4 linked regions of the Arabidopsis thaliana genome follow. The protein of the gene in region 1 interacts with the protein of each later gene in a pairwise test. Each region holds a gene or a part of one and is shown in the gene's direction. Other genes may lie near its edges.

Evidence for each region.
Region 2: the proteins of CYCD5;1 (region 1) and CAK1AT interact in a two-hybrid assay, tested with the Arabidopsis thaliana proteins (one large-scale study listed by BioGRID).
Region 3: the proteins of CYCD5;1 (region 1) and CDKD1;1 interact in a protein complementation assay, tested with the Arabidopsis thaliana proteins (one large-scale study listed by BioGRID).
Region 4: the proteins of CYCD5;1 (region 1) and KRP2 interact in a two-hybrid assay, tested with the Arabidopsis thaliana proteins (one large-scale study listed by BioGRID).

Annotation. Positions count from the first base shown.
Region 1 is NC_003075.7:17,677,179-17,681,779, forward strand, and holds CYCD5;1 (cyclin d5;1), read left to right. Parts: upstream 1-1,989; 5' UTR 1,990-2,318; coding exon 2,319-2,561; intron 2,562-2,641; coding exon 2,642-2,728; intron 2,729-2,812; coding exon 2,813-3,122; intron 3,123-3,197; coding exon 3,198-3,346; coding exon of another isoform or gene 3,347-3,352; exon of another isoform or gene 3,353-3,427; coding exon 3,428-3,610; 3' UTR 3,611-4,086; downstream 4,087-4,601.
Region 2 is NC_003075.7:14,286,619-14,291,413, forward strand, and holds CAK1AT (CDK-activating kinase 1AT), read left to right. Parts: upstream 1-1,778; 5' UTR 1,779-1,852; coding exon 1,853-2,353; intron 2,354-2,545; coding exon 2,546-3,484; 3' UTR 3,485-3,498; exon of another isoform or gene 3,499-3,820; 3' UTR 3,821-4,295; downstream 4,296-4,795. Other genes in the region: AT4G28990 (RNA-binding protein-like protein), read left to right, coding at 4,587-4,776. UniProt on the Arabidopsis thaliana protein: CDK-activating kinase that modulates CDKD-2 and CDKD-3 activities by phosphorylation of the T-loop. Activates CDKD-2 C-terminal domain (CTD) kinase activity. Activates CDKA-1 probably by phosphorylation.
Region 3 is NC_003070.9:27,713,151-27,717,977, forward strand, and holds CDKD1;1 (cyclin-dependent kinase D1;1), read left to right. Parts: upstream 1-1,759; 5' UTR 1,760-1,962; coding exon 1,963-2,058; intron 2,059-2,341; coding exon 2,342-2,640; intron 2,641-2,735; coding exon 2,736-2,844; intron 2,845-2,929; coding exon 2,930-3,055; intron 3,056-3,132; coding exon 3,133-3,368; intron 3,369-3,449; coding exon 3,450-3,731; intron 3,732-3,819; coding exon 3,820-3,868; 3' UTR 3,869-4,270; downstream 4,271-4,827. Other genes in the region: AT1G73700 (MATE efflux family protein), read right to left, coding at 4,404-4,463, 4,550-4,636, 4,729-4,827.
Region 4 is NC_003074.8:18,798,768-18,802,124, forward strand, and holds KRP2 (KIP-related protein 2), read left to right. Parts: upstream 1-1,538; 5' UTR 1,539-1,740; coding exon 1,741-2,067; intron 2,068-2,143; coding exon 2,144-2,205; intron 2,206-2,289; coding exon 2,290-2,457; coding exon of another isoform or gene 2,458-2,461; exon of another isoform or gene 2,462-2,526; coding exon 2,527-2,599; 3' UTR 2,600-2,828; downstream 2,829-3,357. UniProt on the Arabidopsis thaliana protein: Binds and inhibits CYCD2-1/CDKA-1 complex kinase activity. Regulates cell division which is crucial for plant growth, development and morphogenesis. May regulate early lateral root initiation by blocking the G1/S phase transition.

The DNA of each region.
Region 1 (4,601 bases):
AGAATATTACTTGTATCTAGGGGGGAGATCGAACAAATGCTGCTGATACTTCACTAACATACACATAAAAGTTGCAGATTTTGGATCTTGCGTCTTCTTGGTTTTATACCCTTTTCTTACATCTAGTCTTATAAATATTAATACTATAATAGAAAAATTAATTATCCTATATATTGAATGACTCGGCTCCAAAGCCATGCGCCTATATATACAAGTCTTTTTATTTTTTAAAAAATTTGTCAAAAAAGGGACCAGAAACATATAAAGATGGGAGCCTCATTTGCTGATGGATAAATAAATATTTATTTGATTTTAAGTTTGTTCAAGACTAATTATAGTACAAATTAGTAAATTGTTGTTCTTTTTTTTTCTTAACATATTACATATTGTATAGTATAATTCCACTTTCATCCAATTGGATAATCAGTTATAATTCGGATGGTTTACGATACATCGGATTCTGCTTTCAATTTTTCTTGTATACATCAAAATTTAACACATGATAAGGTTTTGGAACCCGCTAACGAGACCTACCTATTTTTACAATAAATATACTCATTCAGTATTTGTCTATATTTCTACCTACAATCTATGTGAATTTGCTTACGTATATCTACTCTTCTTATCTACGTACTGTATAAATTTTCATACACAATCTTCGTGTCTCGTAACATCTACTACATGAGTCATATACAACTTTCTCACCTAACATGGAAGTCATTACTCGTAGGCCTAATTACTCGTTACCGTGAATATAACTATAAAAAGTGAGGAAACAAAAAGATTTACGGAGAAGAAAAATTGAATAATAATTGCAATAGAACTATAGGAAAATTTGTATATGACTTAGCAAAAATAATGATATGGAACTAAATTAAAAAGTTGAGAGGATTTTTTTTAGTGGGAATGGTATGGTGTTTCCCCCACCAATTCCTAAAAAAAACTTATTGCAAAATTGCTCTTTTGATCTTTATTTTCTTCCATTGAAAATGAATTTCTAGGTCTGAATTTAATTGAAGTCAATAAGTGGGAAATAACTAAACTAGCTATTCCTCTGTTTTCTGTTCACAATTCTATTTTGAATAAAGTACATTTTAATTCAAACCTCTTAAAATAGAAGTTACTACAAAAGCAACAAAGGGGGTGGTACGTGGAATACACTAATGAGAAATGTTAATAAGAACGTTGTATTTGGAATGGGATTTAACTTTCTGCACATAAATTTCAATGGGATCATTATTCTTTCCTAACTAAATGATTGATACAAATTCAAAGGATCCTATAAATCTTATCTCAGAGACCGAAAGAAAATTCCATTTGTACAAAACAACAAATAAATAGAAGAAAAAGTTTGATGATAACATTCTTAACAGAATCCGTGAACTTTGTTCATGTAAGAAATCTAGAGTGTAATCAAGGAAGTTCAACAGGTAAAAACAATGACATTTATATATGGACGTTCTTAAAACGTGTAAATCTCATATATTTAAGACAGCCACAATAGTTCTAAACGCTCTCCATTCCTGCATTAAGTATTTATTTCTATTAATAACATTTAATTTATCAATAAAGTTCACATTATCATAGACAACTCCGAAATTAAAAAAGTTTTTTTAAAATAAATTTGCTTAAACTTAAATAATCAACAAAATACAAAACAGTTTAATGGAAATAGCAGAAATCTTTTTCAAGAAAATACAATACTATTAGATAAAAACAATTTTGTTAAATTAAAAAAAACCCATAATTGACTAGCATCAAAAAGTCTTCAAACACAAGTAATCCTGCTGGATATTAAAAAAATAAAAGAGTAATCATTCCTTTAAAAAATGTGATTATTTGTCGACCCAAAAAAAAAGAGTGATGATATTATACATATACTCAAATATTAGTGAACAAATAAAACCTAAAATTAATCAAATAATAAAGATTTTTAATTTAAATGTAACCGCTAAATAACGCCCCCTCTCTCTCCCCCACTTATTTTTGGCGGCACCAGACGCGGGAGACTCTCTCTCTCTCTCCACTCTCTCTCTCTTTTTTCTTTGTTTTTTCGTCACTTGCTCCTAAAATCCCAAATCGAGTAATGGAAGAAAAATCAAATACGATGATTTAGCTTCCCTTCTTATTCTTCCCCTATATTCACTGCGATAACTTTGCCTCTCATCTCATAAATTAAAAAAAAAACACTCTTCTCACAAATTCTTTATAATTCCCCTTTTGATGTGTACGGACACACCACCGAAGCAGAAGCAGAAGAAGAAGAACACTTCTATCTCCGCCGCCGCCGTCGTCTTCATCATCATCGCCGCCGTTAAATGGGTGAGCCTAAAGACAGTCTCGCTCTCTTCCTCTGCCACGAATCGGAGTCTTCTCTAAACGAAGACGACGACGAGACGATTGAGAGATCTGATAAGCAAGAACCTCACTTTACTACTACGATCGATGATGAAGATTATGTGGCAGACCTTGTTCTTAAAGAGAATCTCCGATTCGAAACCCTACCCTCTAAAACGACGTCGTCTTCCGATAGATTGATTGCCATCGATTGGATTCTCACTGTCCGTAATCTCAAAAAGATTTTCCCTTTTTTGATCTTTGTCTTAATCTCTGATTGATTGGTTCTTTGTCTTAATCTCAGACAAGAACAAGATTTGGGTTCCAACATCAAACAGCTTACATTGCAATCTCATACTTCGATCTGTTTCTCCACAAAAGATTCATCGGTGTAAGTTTCAATCTCCAGTTTCATTTATCTATAAAAATCTCACCTTTATCTTCAGATTAAAGCTTAAAGATGGTTTCTTTGTAGTTGCAGAAAGATGAAACATGGGCGATGCGATTGTTATCAGTAGCTTGTTTATCATTAGCTGCTAAAATGGAGGAACGTATTGTTCCTGGTTTATCACAATACCCTCAAGATCATGACTTCGTTTTCAAACCCGATGTCATTCGTAAAACTGAACTGTTGATTCTATCCACATTGGACTGGAAGATGAACTTGATCACTCCTTTTCATTACTTCAACTACTTCCTTGCTAAAATCTCTCAGGACAACCATTCTGTTTCTAAAGACTTGGTGTTGTTAAGATCCTCTGATTCTCTTCTTGCTTTAACTAAAGGTAACTCTATTAAGAAACACATTTTTTTCTCAAGATCAAAGCATTTATTGATATCACATTTTTGTTTCCATGTAGAGATAAGTTTTACGGAGTATCGACAGTTTGTTGTTGCTGCTGTTACTACATTGCTAGCTTCTTCTTCTACCTCATCGGATATTAGATTGACTAGAGAAGAGATAGCTAACAAGTTTGGTTCGATCTCTTGGTGGACTTCTAATGAGAATGTATAAATCTTGGTGTCTTTTTATTCGATTTTGATTGTTTGATGTTGATGATCATAATCTTAGGAGTGTTGGGTTTTGTAGGAAAATGTATATTTGTGTTATCAGAGAACGCTAGAGATTGAGGAGAGGAAACATATGACACCTCCACCGGAAATAGCGGTTTCTCGCGAACCGCCGGCTTCAGGAAGTGGCGCTAAACGCCGATTGTCTTTTGATGATTCTGATCAAAGTTCTCCACCAGCCAAGAGAATGCGTAGGCTATGAAGAGAGAGTTTCTTTCTTCTTCAAGTTTTGGCTTATATTGATTTGGTTTCTTTTTTGGCAACATATTGATTTGGTTTTATATTCAATCATTTGATTATAGAGAAAAAATGGTCTGAATACATCGGTTATTTCAATTTTTATGAAGTAACTCATATAGGTTCTTCGTATGAAGGTCTTTGGATTTCTTGGGGATGAAATGTGACTATTAAAACATTAGGGGCTTCTCTGAGAGAATCTAGGAAATATGAGGAGTGAATGTAAATAAATAAGAAAAACAGAAAGGGTGAATAGTTTTAGGCCAATAGTTGCAGTGCCAGTGATTTGGTTTCACATCCTCTTTTATTTTTTTATTGTCTTATTTTTTTATTTGTTATGTTGCAATTTCTTTTTCATTTGATATTACAAAATTTTGTCATAGATTTTTTTTTTTTTTTGGCATCAAAGTCCATTTTTTTAACCTCTTTAACTTTCAAAAGGGCTCATTCATAGCAAATAATAAATGAAAAAACTCTTTTTAAGGTAAGGTAAAATTATTTTATATTTGATAAATATATTTATTTTCTTATCTTTATTGACACTTTTGGTCATCTCCAAAGTGAATCCATCTGTATGCTACTCAACATGTTATGTCCATTCCACAAAGTCCTTCGTGATCTTTTCATGTTCTCAAATCTCAATATATAATATCTTGGAAAAAAATTAATCAAATAAAAAGAAAATTTTCTTGTTTAGGAAAAATCATCGTTACTTATCTTTGATAGATAACTACTTTTACGAATTGACAATCAGTCGATCACGATAAACTAAAACGGATATATATTTTGCTCCAATAAGTTTTCTTTAGCATTATAGAAACCAACAACTTGTAGTGGAACTGTGGAAGTACTTTGGATCAATGATTGGATCTAAAGATGAAACCCCAATTTATACAGAAATTTGCATGTGATGTTTTTAAGTTAACGTACTATTCTACGCGCAAGTCAAAAGTGCA
Region 2 (4,795 bases), 3.4 Mb from region 1:
GTTTTTTGGAGTTGGGGTCTCTAAATTTCCGGGATAATCACAATGTAAAACCGATGCTATTAATCTTGGTGTGCCTCGCTGTATACTGTTGCTTGTAGTCTCAACACTCCGAGAGCATGTATGCATCTTTCTATGCACTCTAACACTCCAAAAATGAGATTTTTTAGTTCTCGCAACTCTTAGATACCAAGTACACCCTTTAGAAGCTTGGCGGCATCGTAGCATAAGTCTCAACGGGTCTGACTTAATAGTATAGACTCCAAAAACTTCTTTCTTTGCAGCTCTGTTAACCAATTCCCACACAGCCTCCCTTGAACAAAATTCTTGACCAATTTCAATACCCGTACCATCATCCCATTCTATAACCTGCGGAGTAACTTCTACACTTCGTGGAATATCGTGAATATCATCATAATCAATCCTATCATCCTCATCTTGTTCCTCAACAGAATTCACCGGCCTTTCCATCGGCCTTTCGATAGCCACGATCTCCGTACCTACTACATTCTCACAATCATTCACATCATTATCATATCCATCATGCACCATCTCACATACTTCATTTAAAACATCATCCTCTATTACATTTACACCAACTGAACTTCGACGCTCCGGTACAGAAATTTCCTCTCTCCTCTCAACTCCTATACCATTTAATTCCTCCACATGCAAAACAGGAATCCGACTCTCTTCATCAGATTCTGTTAAAAATATGAAGACATCCTCATCATTTACAATATATGTCTCTCTCCTAACTTTAGACAGATTGTAACTCAGTTTCAACTTGACAGAAGCTTCATCAATCGCAACCTTCTTCATGATCTTGTCAACTAACATCGAATAGCTAATCTTCTCCAAACTACTCGTCTTAAACGATATAACATATAGTGAATTTTTACCAATCCACTCATTCACTTCAGAATAGTATCCTCCAAAGTCAAAATGTACCTTAGTGTGGATCTTCTTCTTCATCGCTCCTGAAAATACAACCAGTTCAACTCCAATCAAACATTTTAATAGTTATACCACATGTACTCTTATCATACGTTGAAATCAATCTCTCGTCGCACTCGTCTCTACTGAACCTAATTCGTTACCTTTCAATTGATTTCCAATGTTAATACATACCTATTCGTTAAACTAATTGGTTAATCTAAACTTTGCAAACACAAACCCCCCAAATCTTTAATATGAAATCTCGGAATTCAAATTCAACTCACATTCAACCTACATTCCTTTGCTCATCACCTCAAATAACGTTTCGGCAACCTCTAATCGATTACTCTTTACTTTGCAAACCAATCATCAAACTATCAAATTGAATCGAGCTGGGAATTATATAGAATTCAAAATCCCAATCTAAAATCACAATGCACCAATGTCAAAGGAAATATGAGAAGAAACTGACCTAATTCGTGGCTTTTACGCCGGATTTCAAGTCGGCGGCATGAGGAAATCGATGGTGGCCGACGAAGAAGATGAACGTCGACCAAAGAAGAAGAACACGACGACGAAGAGGAGAATCTCCGAACTCGATTTTCTTTATTTAGCTTTTGAATTTCTTTTTCATTTTTTTAATCAACTCATTAAGGGTACAACTGGTATATCACATTTTCGGTGGCATTCAGATTAACTTATGGCAGTCCAGATCAGTTTTTTCAAAAAAGTGGCATAAGTGATAAAAGTCCCCCCCTGCGGTTTGGTTTCTTGTCCGCTCCAAAACTTGTGAGGGCATTTTAGTCATTACAACATGGGAACTGGATTTTTAAACTGGTGAATTCGTTAGCGTTTATGTGAATAATCATCCATCATCAGGAAAGATCCGAAGAAAAGCGACGCCGTTTTAAAGGAGATGGATAAACAACCGGCGACCAGTTGGAGTATCCATACCCGGCCGGAGATAATCGCCAAGTACGAGATCTTCGAGCGAGTCGGATCCGGAGCTTACGCCGACGTTTACAGAGCTCGCCGTCTCTCCGACGGTCTAATCGTCGCGCTCAAGGAGATTTTCGATTACCAATCTGCGTTCCGGGAGATTGACGCGCTCACCATCCTCAATGGATCTCCTAATGTAGTTGTTATGCACGAATACTTCTGGCGTGAGGAAGAGAACGCTGTGCTTGTGCTTGAGTTTCTTAGGTCGGATCTCGCTGCGGTGATCCGAGATGGTAAGAGGAAGAAGAAGGTAGAAGGAGGGGATGGATTCTCGGTTGGGGAGATTAAGAGATGGATGATTCAGATTTTAACCGGTGTTGATGCTTGTCATCGGAATTTGATTGTACATAGAGATTTGAAGCCTGGGAATATGTTGATTTCTGATGATGGAGTTCTTAAGCTTGCTGATTTTGGTCAGGTGAGATTATGATTGTTACTGATTGTGTTAGTTATTTCATTGTTTGATGCACAAATATGAGAAACCTCTGAATGAAAAATGCTTGGTTTGCTTGAAATTTGGAAGAGTTAGTGTAATCAAGTGGCTAGACCTTATCATTTAGTGTAATCTATGAGTTTCTAAATGTGTGTTGGCTTCTTGGTTCATATACAGGCTAGGATACTCATGGAGCATGATATTGTAGCTTCAGATGAAAACCAACAAGCTTACAAACTGGAAGACAAAGATGGAGAAACCAGCGAACCACCAGAAGTTATTCCTGATTATGAGAACTCACCTAGGCAAGGGTCTGATGGTCAGGAACGGGAAGCGATGAGTAAAGACGAGTACTTCCGACAGGTGGAAGAGCTCAAGGCTAAACAGGTTGTTAGAGATGATACTGATAAGGACTCGAATGTGCATGATGGAGACATATCTTGCCTTGCAACGTGCACTGTTAGTGAAATGGATGATGATCTCGGTAGGAACTCGTTTTCTTACGATGCTGACGAAGCAGTGGATGATACACAGGGTTTGATGACATCTTGTGTGGGAACCCGATGGTTTAGGCCACCAGAACTGCTCTATGGATCTACGATGTATGGGTTAGAGGTCGATCTATGGTCGCTTGGTTGTGTGTTTGCAGAACTCTTGTCTCTTGAGCCTTTGTTCCCAGGAATTTCAGATATTGATCAGATCAGCAGAGTGACCAATGTGCTGGGAAATTTAAATGAAGAGGTCTGGCCTGGTTGTGTTGATCTTCCAGACTACAAGTCAATCTCATTTGCTAAAGTAGAATCTCCTCTTGGTATTGAAGGATGCCTTCCCAACCATTCAGGGGATGTGATATCGCTGCTCAAGAAGCTTATCTGTTATGATCCAGCTAGTAGAGCTACTACTATGGAGATGCTGAATGACAAATATTTAAGTGAAGAGCCTCTTCCAGTTCCAGTTTCAGAGCTCTATGTGCCTCCGACAATGAGTGGACCAGATGAGGATTCTCCGAGAAAGTGGAATGATTACAGAGAAATGGATTCAGATTCAGATTTTGATGGCTTTGGACCCATGAATGTAAAGCCTACCAGTAGTGGATTTACAATAGAATTCCCCTGACCTTGGCATTTAAGGTACGCAGTCAAAAGCTCTGGCTCGCTTAAACACATAAATCAGTCTCTTCTCTCTCTCTCTTTCTTCTTCAAAGAGAATGGGTATATACCAAAACCTGACATGTGTTTCTTTAGGTCTTGATTGATGCAACACTCTTTGTTGTTTGAAGATCTTGTTACAGAATACCGCTTAGAAAATTGTTAACTTTTCGTTAGGACATTGTTTAGGTATCAATGGCGGCAAAAACTTTTGAAATTCGTTTGCTCATTGATCTCACAACTTTTTTTTGCGCTTTGTTTCTCTCATCGATCTCAGTTTTATGTGTTTATCTCTCCTTGGCAGAGTCCATGGTTGAGCATCTTGATCATCCCGACTTCCCCTGAATTCGCCTACTTTGTCAAAAATGTGTTGTGTGTGTGTGTGTGTTGTTCCTCTCTCTCTGCCTCCCTCGTATGAAAATGGTAACATTTACAATTGGAAAGTCGGTGTTAGCCTTTAGCTATTAGCTGAAGAGCTAGTTTTCTTGTTGCCCAGGCCATTCTTTACCCTATTTTTCATCTGAAGTAACAATGAAACAAAATCTATATATACTCGAGTTTTGCTTTCTAGGATCTGTATTTCTTAATTGTTTCTATATTTTGATCAATTTTGAACTTTTCATATCAAGTTATCAACATGTGTAGTAGCAACCCTTCAATAATGAGACCATGGAATAAAAGCCTATCCTATATGTCATCCAGTTTTTGCTAAGATAAATTATTTTCAGTTACCCAAATTACATAATCAAAACTGATATCATAAACAACAAAAATAGCACACACAAAAATCATAACTGAATCTGATTCTTCCAGAAATGTGAACTGTTGTTTACTATAAAAAGAAGAAAACCAGAACCACAATACATTTGACTCCATGAATCAGTCATACTAGTCCAACATACTAAATATAAAACTTAAGGGGCAATATTGAAAATTAGACAAAAGTTGATAGACCAAAAGATAAATTAATAACAGTTACCAGTATCTATCGCCAAGTCTCCCCTAGGGTTTTTTTTCTCTGAAACGGACATCGAGAAATTCCAGGAGTGAGTTTTGACAATCGGAGAGAAATGGGGTCGACAGAAAAAGAGCAGACGACGCAACATCACCCGCCTCACATCAGCAGTCTCGTCGTACGTCCCTCCGGAAGCAACGACAGAGAAGACGGCCGCAACGCCGCCGGAGACTATGAGCCCGGAGAAGTCTCTCGTGACCGGCCTTCGTTTAATCGCTCGGATCGGTATAAGGGTGACAATGGTGGTTCGTATCTCTTCTAAAC
Region 3 (4,827 bases), on another chromosome or scaffold:
CGGAAAATTAAAGATGAATCCGAATAAATAATTGTTGAGTAGAAATAAAGAAAAATAAAAAATAGAGAAGGTGAAAGAAGATGTAGAGCTCCCTTCAATCCAAAGAAGAGTAAAAGCCATTAAAGGGCAAGTTAAAGCTCCTGAGATATGCAATCCATATAACCAAATCCTTTTTTACTTTACAAGGATTAGGGCTTATGGGATCCATAGCTTAGCAGCTTTTCTTTACCCTGCTCAACTCATGTTTGAACTTTAAGGAGCTCTACTTCCATCGTCAGATCAAGATCTATCGAAAAACAAAGTATCTTGTCAAATATATTATGGATCTGACATAAGCAAACTGTAAAGACCTTTAACTCTTCATAAAACAATGAGAAAGTTTTGATGAGAACGTGGATTAACAAAAACACCAAAAGAGGTAAATCTCTTACATTAGAGCTATGAAGGAGATATAAAGACAGAACAAAAGAGAGGAGGAACCCTAATTATTAACCCTAAACATACTTAGAGAGAAGGAAAGAGAGAGAGAGAAGAGGCCACGTCATGTTTTGGAAGAAATGATAGATAGAGAGTCGTAATTATAGTGGTTTAGATATTCGTGATAGAAGAATAAAAAGAAAAGAAAAAAAGGAACAGGTGGGTGCATCTGAAAAGACATGGGAAGGGTCTGACATTGTTTGTGTTAGATTCCCTACGCGTCACATGCGTCCTTCTCGGCTTTTGTGCTTCACTCTTTTTTTTTTTGGGTAAAGATAATAAAAATAACAATTATTATCGTTCCTGCCAACTACTAGTCCACTACATTTTTAAGATGTAACTTTGAAAATGAATTTGGCCGACCATTCTTTATTTCTTTTAGAAAATAATGTACAAGTGTTTCCGTTTGGTGACCTAATTCTAAATCATTTGTTAGCCCTAACAACTAGAAATTTCAACACGAAATAGTGAAATAGGTTGATGTACGGTCAGGATTATAAGTCTGATGATGTGGGCACGAAAGCAGGTAATTATTTCTCTGTCTGAGCAGAATCTATTGCTAGATTTATTACAACGAACTTGTCTTATTACCCTCACGAGTCTCGTCTCTTTCACAATTCAATGGCTTATTTTTAAGTGTGTTTTTTTATCCATCGTGTAAGTTTTTTTTTGAGTTGTTTAAATAAAAATTTGTATGATGAAAAATGTTCACTAGCAAAATACTTGACCCTGAAGTATCCTAAATTTTTCTGGTTCATACTCAAATGTTAGGCTTACTTTGTTTTCTTTGGTCACCTAAAAAAAAGTGGACTGATCAGCCTAATTATTTGTGCAAACTTTAATGATTGGGCTGCATCTCTTTCTTATGAGCCCATTATATGGGCCCAGAAGTTAACAGTTGCTTGTCTAACCTTCTCGGAATAGTTATTTGGGCCTTATATTTGGGCTTGATTCCACGCTTCATGAAACGGAAGTTAATCCGGTAGTGTTCTCCTGGTCCATGCTGCGGAAAATATGAGCAAGGTTAATTTGGCAACTTGTTGATGCAGCTTTTTATTTTCTTGGATTTTTTTTTTAATTTCTAAGTATGTTTAGGCAATGTTCCAATATTCATACAGCTAAAAAAATGTTAATATTCACAATCATCTTTTGTTTAACCACTAACTTATAACATTTTAAACCGAAGAATAATTGACGAGTCAATGTTGAGTAAACCGGAACAATTTTGCTTTTCATTTATAAACCTTTAAACGACGTCGTTACGATAGACGCTTCCAGCTTCGTTTTATTTCTAGCTTTAGAGCGTCTCTTTCCTTTTTCGTTTACTTTTCAATATTTTCCCCTAAAAATGTCGATTCCTTCTGTAATTGCTCTAACGGCTACTTTTTCTCCAGAGCATCATAAGATACCTCAACGTTAACGATAACAAATTAATTAAGATCAGTTTCGATCAATTGCTTGTGATCCGATTAGAGAGTTCCGGAGATGGAACAGCCGAAGAAAGTTGCTGATAGGTATCTAAAGCGAGAGGTTCTTGGTCAAGGTACTTATGGAGTCGTCTTCAAAGCTACTGATACAAAGGTGAAGATGATTCCTCTCTCAATTCTTCATATTTTTTGTCGATCCCATCGAAACTAGGGTTCCAATTCTGTCGTGTGTCTTTTGACGTGTCTCTTCCTGGGAACAATTTGGTTAAATCTGATAGCTCTTAGGTTTTAAATCAGCTAAAGTTTCGATCTTTACACTAATATGTGTTCTTAGAAGTCAAAGTTTGCATTTTTATGTTCTTAATGGATTTAAAGTGTGTAGTTTTTGTTTAAGTTTGTATAAGGAAGCTGATTTGTTTTGTTGTGGCAATTTGTAGAATGGAGAAACTGTAGCGATCAAGAAAATAAGACTTGGTAAAGAGAAAGAAGGTGTGAATGTAACAGCTCTTAGAGAAATCAAATTACTTAAAGAGCTTAAGCATCCACATATAATTGAGTTGATTGATGCGTTTCCTCACAAGGAGAATTTGCACATCGTGTTTGAGTTCATGGAGACTGATCTCGAAGCAGTTATCCGAGATCGTAATCTCTATCTTTCGCCTGGTGATGTCAAATCTTACCTCCAAATGATATTGAAAGGTCTTGAATATTGCCATGGCAAATGGGTTCTGCACAGGTACTATCATTGGAACTTAGAAGCAGAACTTGTTCTATCTCTAATAAGGTCTGTTTTGATTTAAACTTATGGATGATCATTCGTATTTGTTTCAGAGATATGAAGCCAAACAACTTGTTGATAGGACCCAATGGACAGCTGAAACTTGCAGATTTTGGGTTAGCACGTATATTTGGTAGCCCAGGTCGTAAGTTTACCCACCAGGTATGCTTTGTTTGTTGTGACAATGCTATTTATGTAGTAGTTCTGCTATCTTTCGTATCTTGATGTCCTTTAGCAATTTTCATAGGTGTTTGCTAGATGGTATAGAGCACCTGAACTTTTGTTTGGTGCAAAACAATATGATGGTGCAGTTGATGTTTGGGCTGCTGGCTGCATTTTTGCTGAACTTCTATTACGCAGACCATTTCTTCAGGTGAACCTCCATTTTGATTGTGTAGTAATCCAGTGCATCTGTCTACTTGTTTATCTAACTTACTTATTCCATTGCAGGGAAACAGTGATATTGATCAATTAAGCAAAATCTTTGCTGCCTTTGGGACTCCAAAAGCAGATCAGTGGCCTGACATGATCTGCCTTCCTGATTATGTAGAGTATCAATTTGTCCCTGCTCCTTCTTTACGTTCTTTACTCCCAACGGTTAGTGAGGATGCTTTAGATTTGTTGTCAAAGATGTTCACCTATGACCCCAAGTCTAGAATATCGATTCAGCAGGCTCTAAAACACAGGTACCTAAAAATCTCCCCTATGGATAATGCATAAGAACAGGTTATTTAGTTTTGTTCTCAAACCTTGATTTCTTTTTAAAGGTACTTCACATCTGCACCTTCACCTACTGACCCTTTAAAGCTCCCAAGACCAGTTTCCAAGCAAGATGCTAAGTCATCTGATAGTAAACTTGAAGCCATTAAAGTGCTGTCACCAGCACATAAGTTTAGAAGAGTGATGCCTGACCGAGGAAAGTCTGGTAATGGTTTCAAGGACCAGAGTGTTGATGTCATGAGACAAGCTAGCCATGATGGACAAGCACCAATGTCTTTAGATTTCACCATCTTAGCTGAGCGGCCACCAAACCGACCAACCATCACCAGGTAAAAACAATTGGTTTTATTACAGTCAGTTCTTGGTCAGCTTAAAAAATGAAAACTTTTGATGAATTCTTGATTTTTGGATTTGCAGTGCAGATAGATCTCATCTGAAGAGGAAACTTGATCTCGAGTTCCTATAGGATATCGCGTAACAGGCTTCTTCTTGACGTCGTTCTTCAGGTTCCTATAGCCTATAGGATCTCTCTTACTGGTTGGTTCCGTTCAGTAATTCCTGAAATTTTTCATATCACAACTAGTGATGACGAATAGTTTGAATCATTCTTTCTGTCTAAAATAAAGAATATAAAGCACAGATGATTAACTAATCATCATGTACACCCTTCATAGAAAAATCTCTGTTTTTGGCCTATGTTTAGAAGAGAGCTCTGATCCCAAACTCATTCTTCGTTCATTTCCAATTTAAAGTCCAGAATTTTTAGTATCGAACACGTTGGTGTATTACATATATGAATTTTTGATCTCATTACACTAATGCTCGATGAGAATGGAAACACATCCAAGGAATTTCAATAACTATGTAACAATGGTAAAGTTTTCTAAAGACCAATGTACGGCCACATCAATTAGAAATTCCCAATAAGTTCATATGGGCATACAAGAATAAAGCACTCATTAAGCTCATTTGCAACTGCTTTTTCCTCAGACGTTTATTGATCATTGGACGTCACCATCTTTGTCATCTGAAGATCCGACTCTGTTCGTAGCTTTCTTTGCCTAATCATGTAAAACAAGAAACAGAATCACATTATGGCAGAGTTATTATACATATAAAACTGAGCCGATCAGTTAAAAGGTTTTACCTCTTTATCCCAGTTTGTGAATATAGTGACTAAGGAAAGACACAACACTTGAACAGACAATGCTGTTACGATTCCCAGCCAAAGCCCCTACAATATGAAAATACCACAAAATAAAAGTTTCTATAAAACTAGTCTTGTGTTTGAACTTGAGAATGAGAAGGAGAGTTTAAGATTATTACCCGACCACCAATGTGGAAATGGAAACCAAGTAACAATCCTAATGGAACTCCAACAAGATAATATGATCCAAGATTCACACATGCTCCAATTTTCTGCCA
Region 4 (3,357 bases), on another chromosome or scaffold:
TATGCGAATTTTTAAACTACATTATATGTTTAGCTCACTATTTTATTTTGAATATCTCATAAGTATGTATATATACTTACACATTGTTATAGTGAGTGTAAAAAAGAGAGAGACAGTTTAGTAATGATTGAGTATGCAGCTCGTGGGCACATTATTAAATTGAATGGTATGATGGATATGCGCAGACACTGTCTTGTGTGAACTCAAGAATCGATACAGAACGACGGCATTAAAAAAAAAGAAAAAATTCAATATAAGACGAAAATGATGATGGAAAAAAATTCTTTTATTTTTACCAACGAAATGTATGCGATATGAACTAGTAGTATTTAATTCACTGTGTGAATTAGTAGTAATATTTAAGCATGTGAATATGTTTGTGTACGTATTGTATTGCCACAACAAAACAGCATGTCGCAGCATTGATTTCATTATCACCTAACCGTTAAATACGTCATGGCCCTAGACTTAATGTATTTTAGACTTAATGTATTTTATACCTTATTTTGATATGTGTACGGTCGACCCCCTCACAAAATTGAAATATTACGACTATGCATTGAAAAACTATACACAACTACATTGTCAAATACTGATAAGATCTTAACACAGAAACACATATTATCACTAATAATGTAACGTGACAACATTACATTGCTTTACACACATTTTTTTTAATCTATTTAAGATGATTGGATGATATTGTCATTTTTCTCTATAAATCTAAGATTTTTATTGTCTTTATAATCTAAATTCGCAATTATTACAACAAAAAATTATCAAATCTAAATTTATTTTTAAAATCCACGATAATTATTCTCATTCTATTTCATTGGAAACACCAACCAATTATTTTAAAAAACAGAAAACATATTAATTAAAAAATTGAATTCAAATTCTATTTACCATTCTAAAAAAAAAATTATGCACTGATTCTGTAAACGTTGACACCGTTAACGTAGTCGTAGATATGCACTGATTCTGTAAACGTTGACACCGTTAATGTAATCACATCGAATAAAAGACATATGTTGATCGTGTAAAGGTATAAGATACTCGATCTATAACATCGTTGTCAAATTCCATGTTGCATATACATTATATTGCTTTACACACATTTTTTTATCTATTTGATCGTCTGTGAATTAATATGATAATTTGATGGTATTATTGTTATCTTTATAATATAAATTCGTAATTATTATAACAAAAAATAAACAGTTTTATCTTAATATCCACAATAATTATTTTCATTCTCGTTGATTTATTGGAAAAGCCAGCCAATTATATTAAAATAAATAAAAACAACATATTAATTCAAAAAAATTTGAATTCAAAAAAATTTATCATTCTAAAGTAACTAGATATGCACTAATTGCACTGATTTTGTAAACTTTGAAACTATTAATGTAATCGTAACGAATAAAAGACACGTATCAATCGTGTAAGGTATAAAATACTCGATTTTTAACGGCGCCGTCAAATTCTCCGTTACATATTAAAAGAATTACTATTCCTACTTCACACGAGGCTTTATATGAAAATGACAAGAGTTAATCGTGGCCGTTAACAAATTACGATCAAAACGAAGATCGTCACCATCTTATAACAGAATAACCCAAATGGTACGCGAGCTAGAGACTCTCTAGTAGAGAGAAAGAGAGAGAAACACAAACACGCACACATAACGAGTGATTTTAGAGAGAGATAGAGATCTGGAAGGTGACGTCGTAGGAGATTATGGCGGCGGTTAGGAGAAGAGAACGAGATGTGGTTGAAGAGAATGGAGTTACGACGACGACGGTGAAACGAAGGAAGATGGAGGAGGAAGTGGATTTAGTGGAATCTAGGATAATTCTGTCTCCGTGTGTACAGGCGACGAATCGCGGTGGAATTGTGGCGAGAAATTCAGCAGGAGCGTCGGAGACGAGTGTTGTTATAGTACGACGGCGAGATTCTCCTCCGGTTGAAGAACAGTGTCAAATCGAAGAAGAAGATTCGTCGGTTTCGTGTTGTTCTACATCGGAAGAGAAATCGAAACGGAGAATCGAATTTGTAGATCTTGAGGTGACAACGAAAGCATTATTTATCGAAACTGAATTTTGATTTACAGATTTTGAAATTTTTGAATTCGTTTTTCCAGGAAAATAACGGTGACGATCGTGAAACAGAAACGTCGTGGATTTACGATGATTTGAATAAGAGGTTTGTTTAATTTGTTACAGATATTAAAATTTTGAATCAGTAACAAACATTTCTATAAAATGTCTTTGATTTTTTTGTGTATAGTGAGGAATCGATGAACATGGATTCTTCTTCGGTGGCTGTTGAAGATGTAGAGTCTCGCCGCAGGTTAAGGAAGAGTCTCCATGAGACGGTGAAGGAAGCTGAGTTAGAAGACTTTTTTCAGGTGGCGGAGAAAGATCTTCGGAATAAGTTGTTGGAATGTTCTATGAAGTAAGTTTTTTTTTTTTGATTCAAATCTTTTAATCGAATTTTTGAAACTGATAATGAATTTGTTGTTAGGTATAACTTCGATTTCGAGAAAGATGAGCCACTTGGTGGAGGAAGATACGAGTGGGTTAAATTGAATCCATGAAGAAGACGATGATGATAATGATGATCATTGTTTTCACCAAAGTACTTATTATTTCTCTTCTGTAATAATCTTTGCTTTGATTTTTCTTTTAACAAAATCCAAATGTAGATATCTTTCTCTCGAATAATCAATAACATGTAATTCAACTTTTGTTTGTACTTCCTTGAGGTAATTAATTAGATTCGTGTTTTTCTCGATTAATAAACTATAAGTTTATAACTCTAAGAGTAATTATAATTGTTACTGAAAACTAAATAGCTTCTATTATTTCTATGTATCAATTATCATACAGTATTTGATTTTTTTTTTTTAACAATGAAAAGAGAGTGTAGAGCAGAACAAAAAAGGGTCACGGCTGACGTGGTAAAGGAATATAACTGTTTATTGATCAGGCTTTTTCAGTAAAAAAGTTACTATTTTATTCTCACTTGGATTGGATTGTAGGTGCTACTCTAGTGATTAACTACGAACTTGTTTGTGCTTTACAAGTTATTAAACTAAAATATTGTACTATCTCCTTGCATTTTACAAATTTAGCTATTTGAAATTATATATTTTTTAAAAATAAAATAGCTTAAATATACACTTCCAGTTTTTCCCTCTCAATTTCTTTCAACAAAGTAACTATTTTGAGTTGTATTATTTTATTTTCCTAATTTATCTATCTAATATAACATGGATATTAGATATGGTTGGTGTACCTAACGCCTATAATTTATACTCGATTAGCAACAACCAAAAAAAAGAAGAAGAAGAAG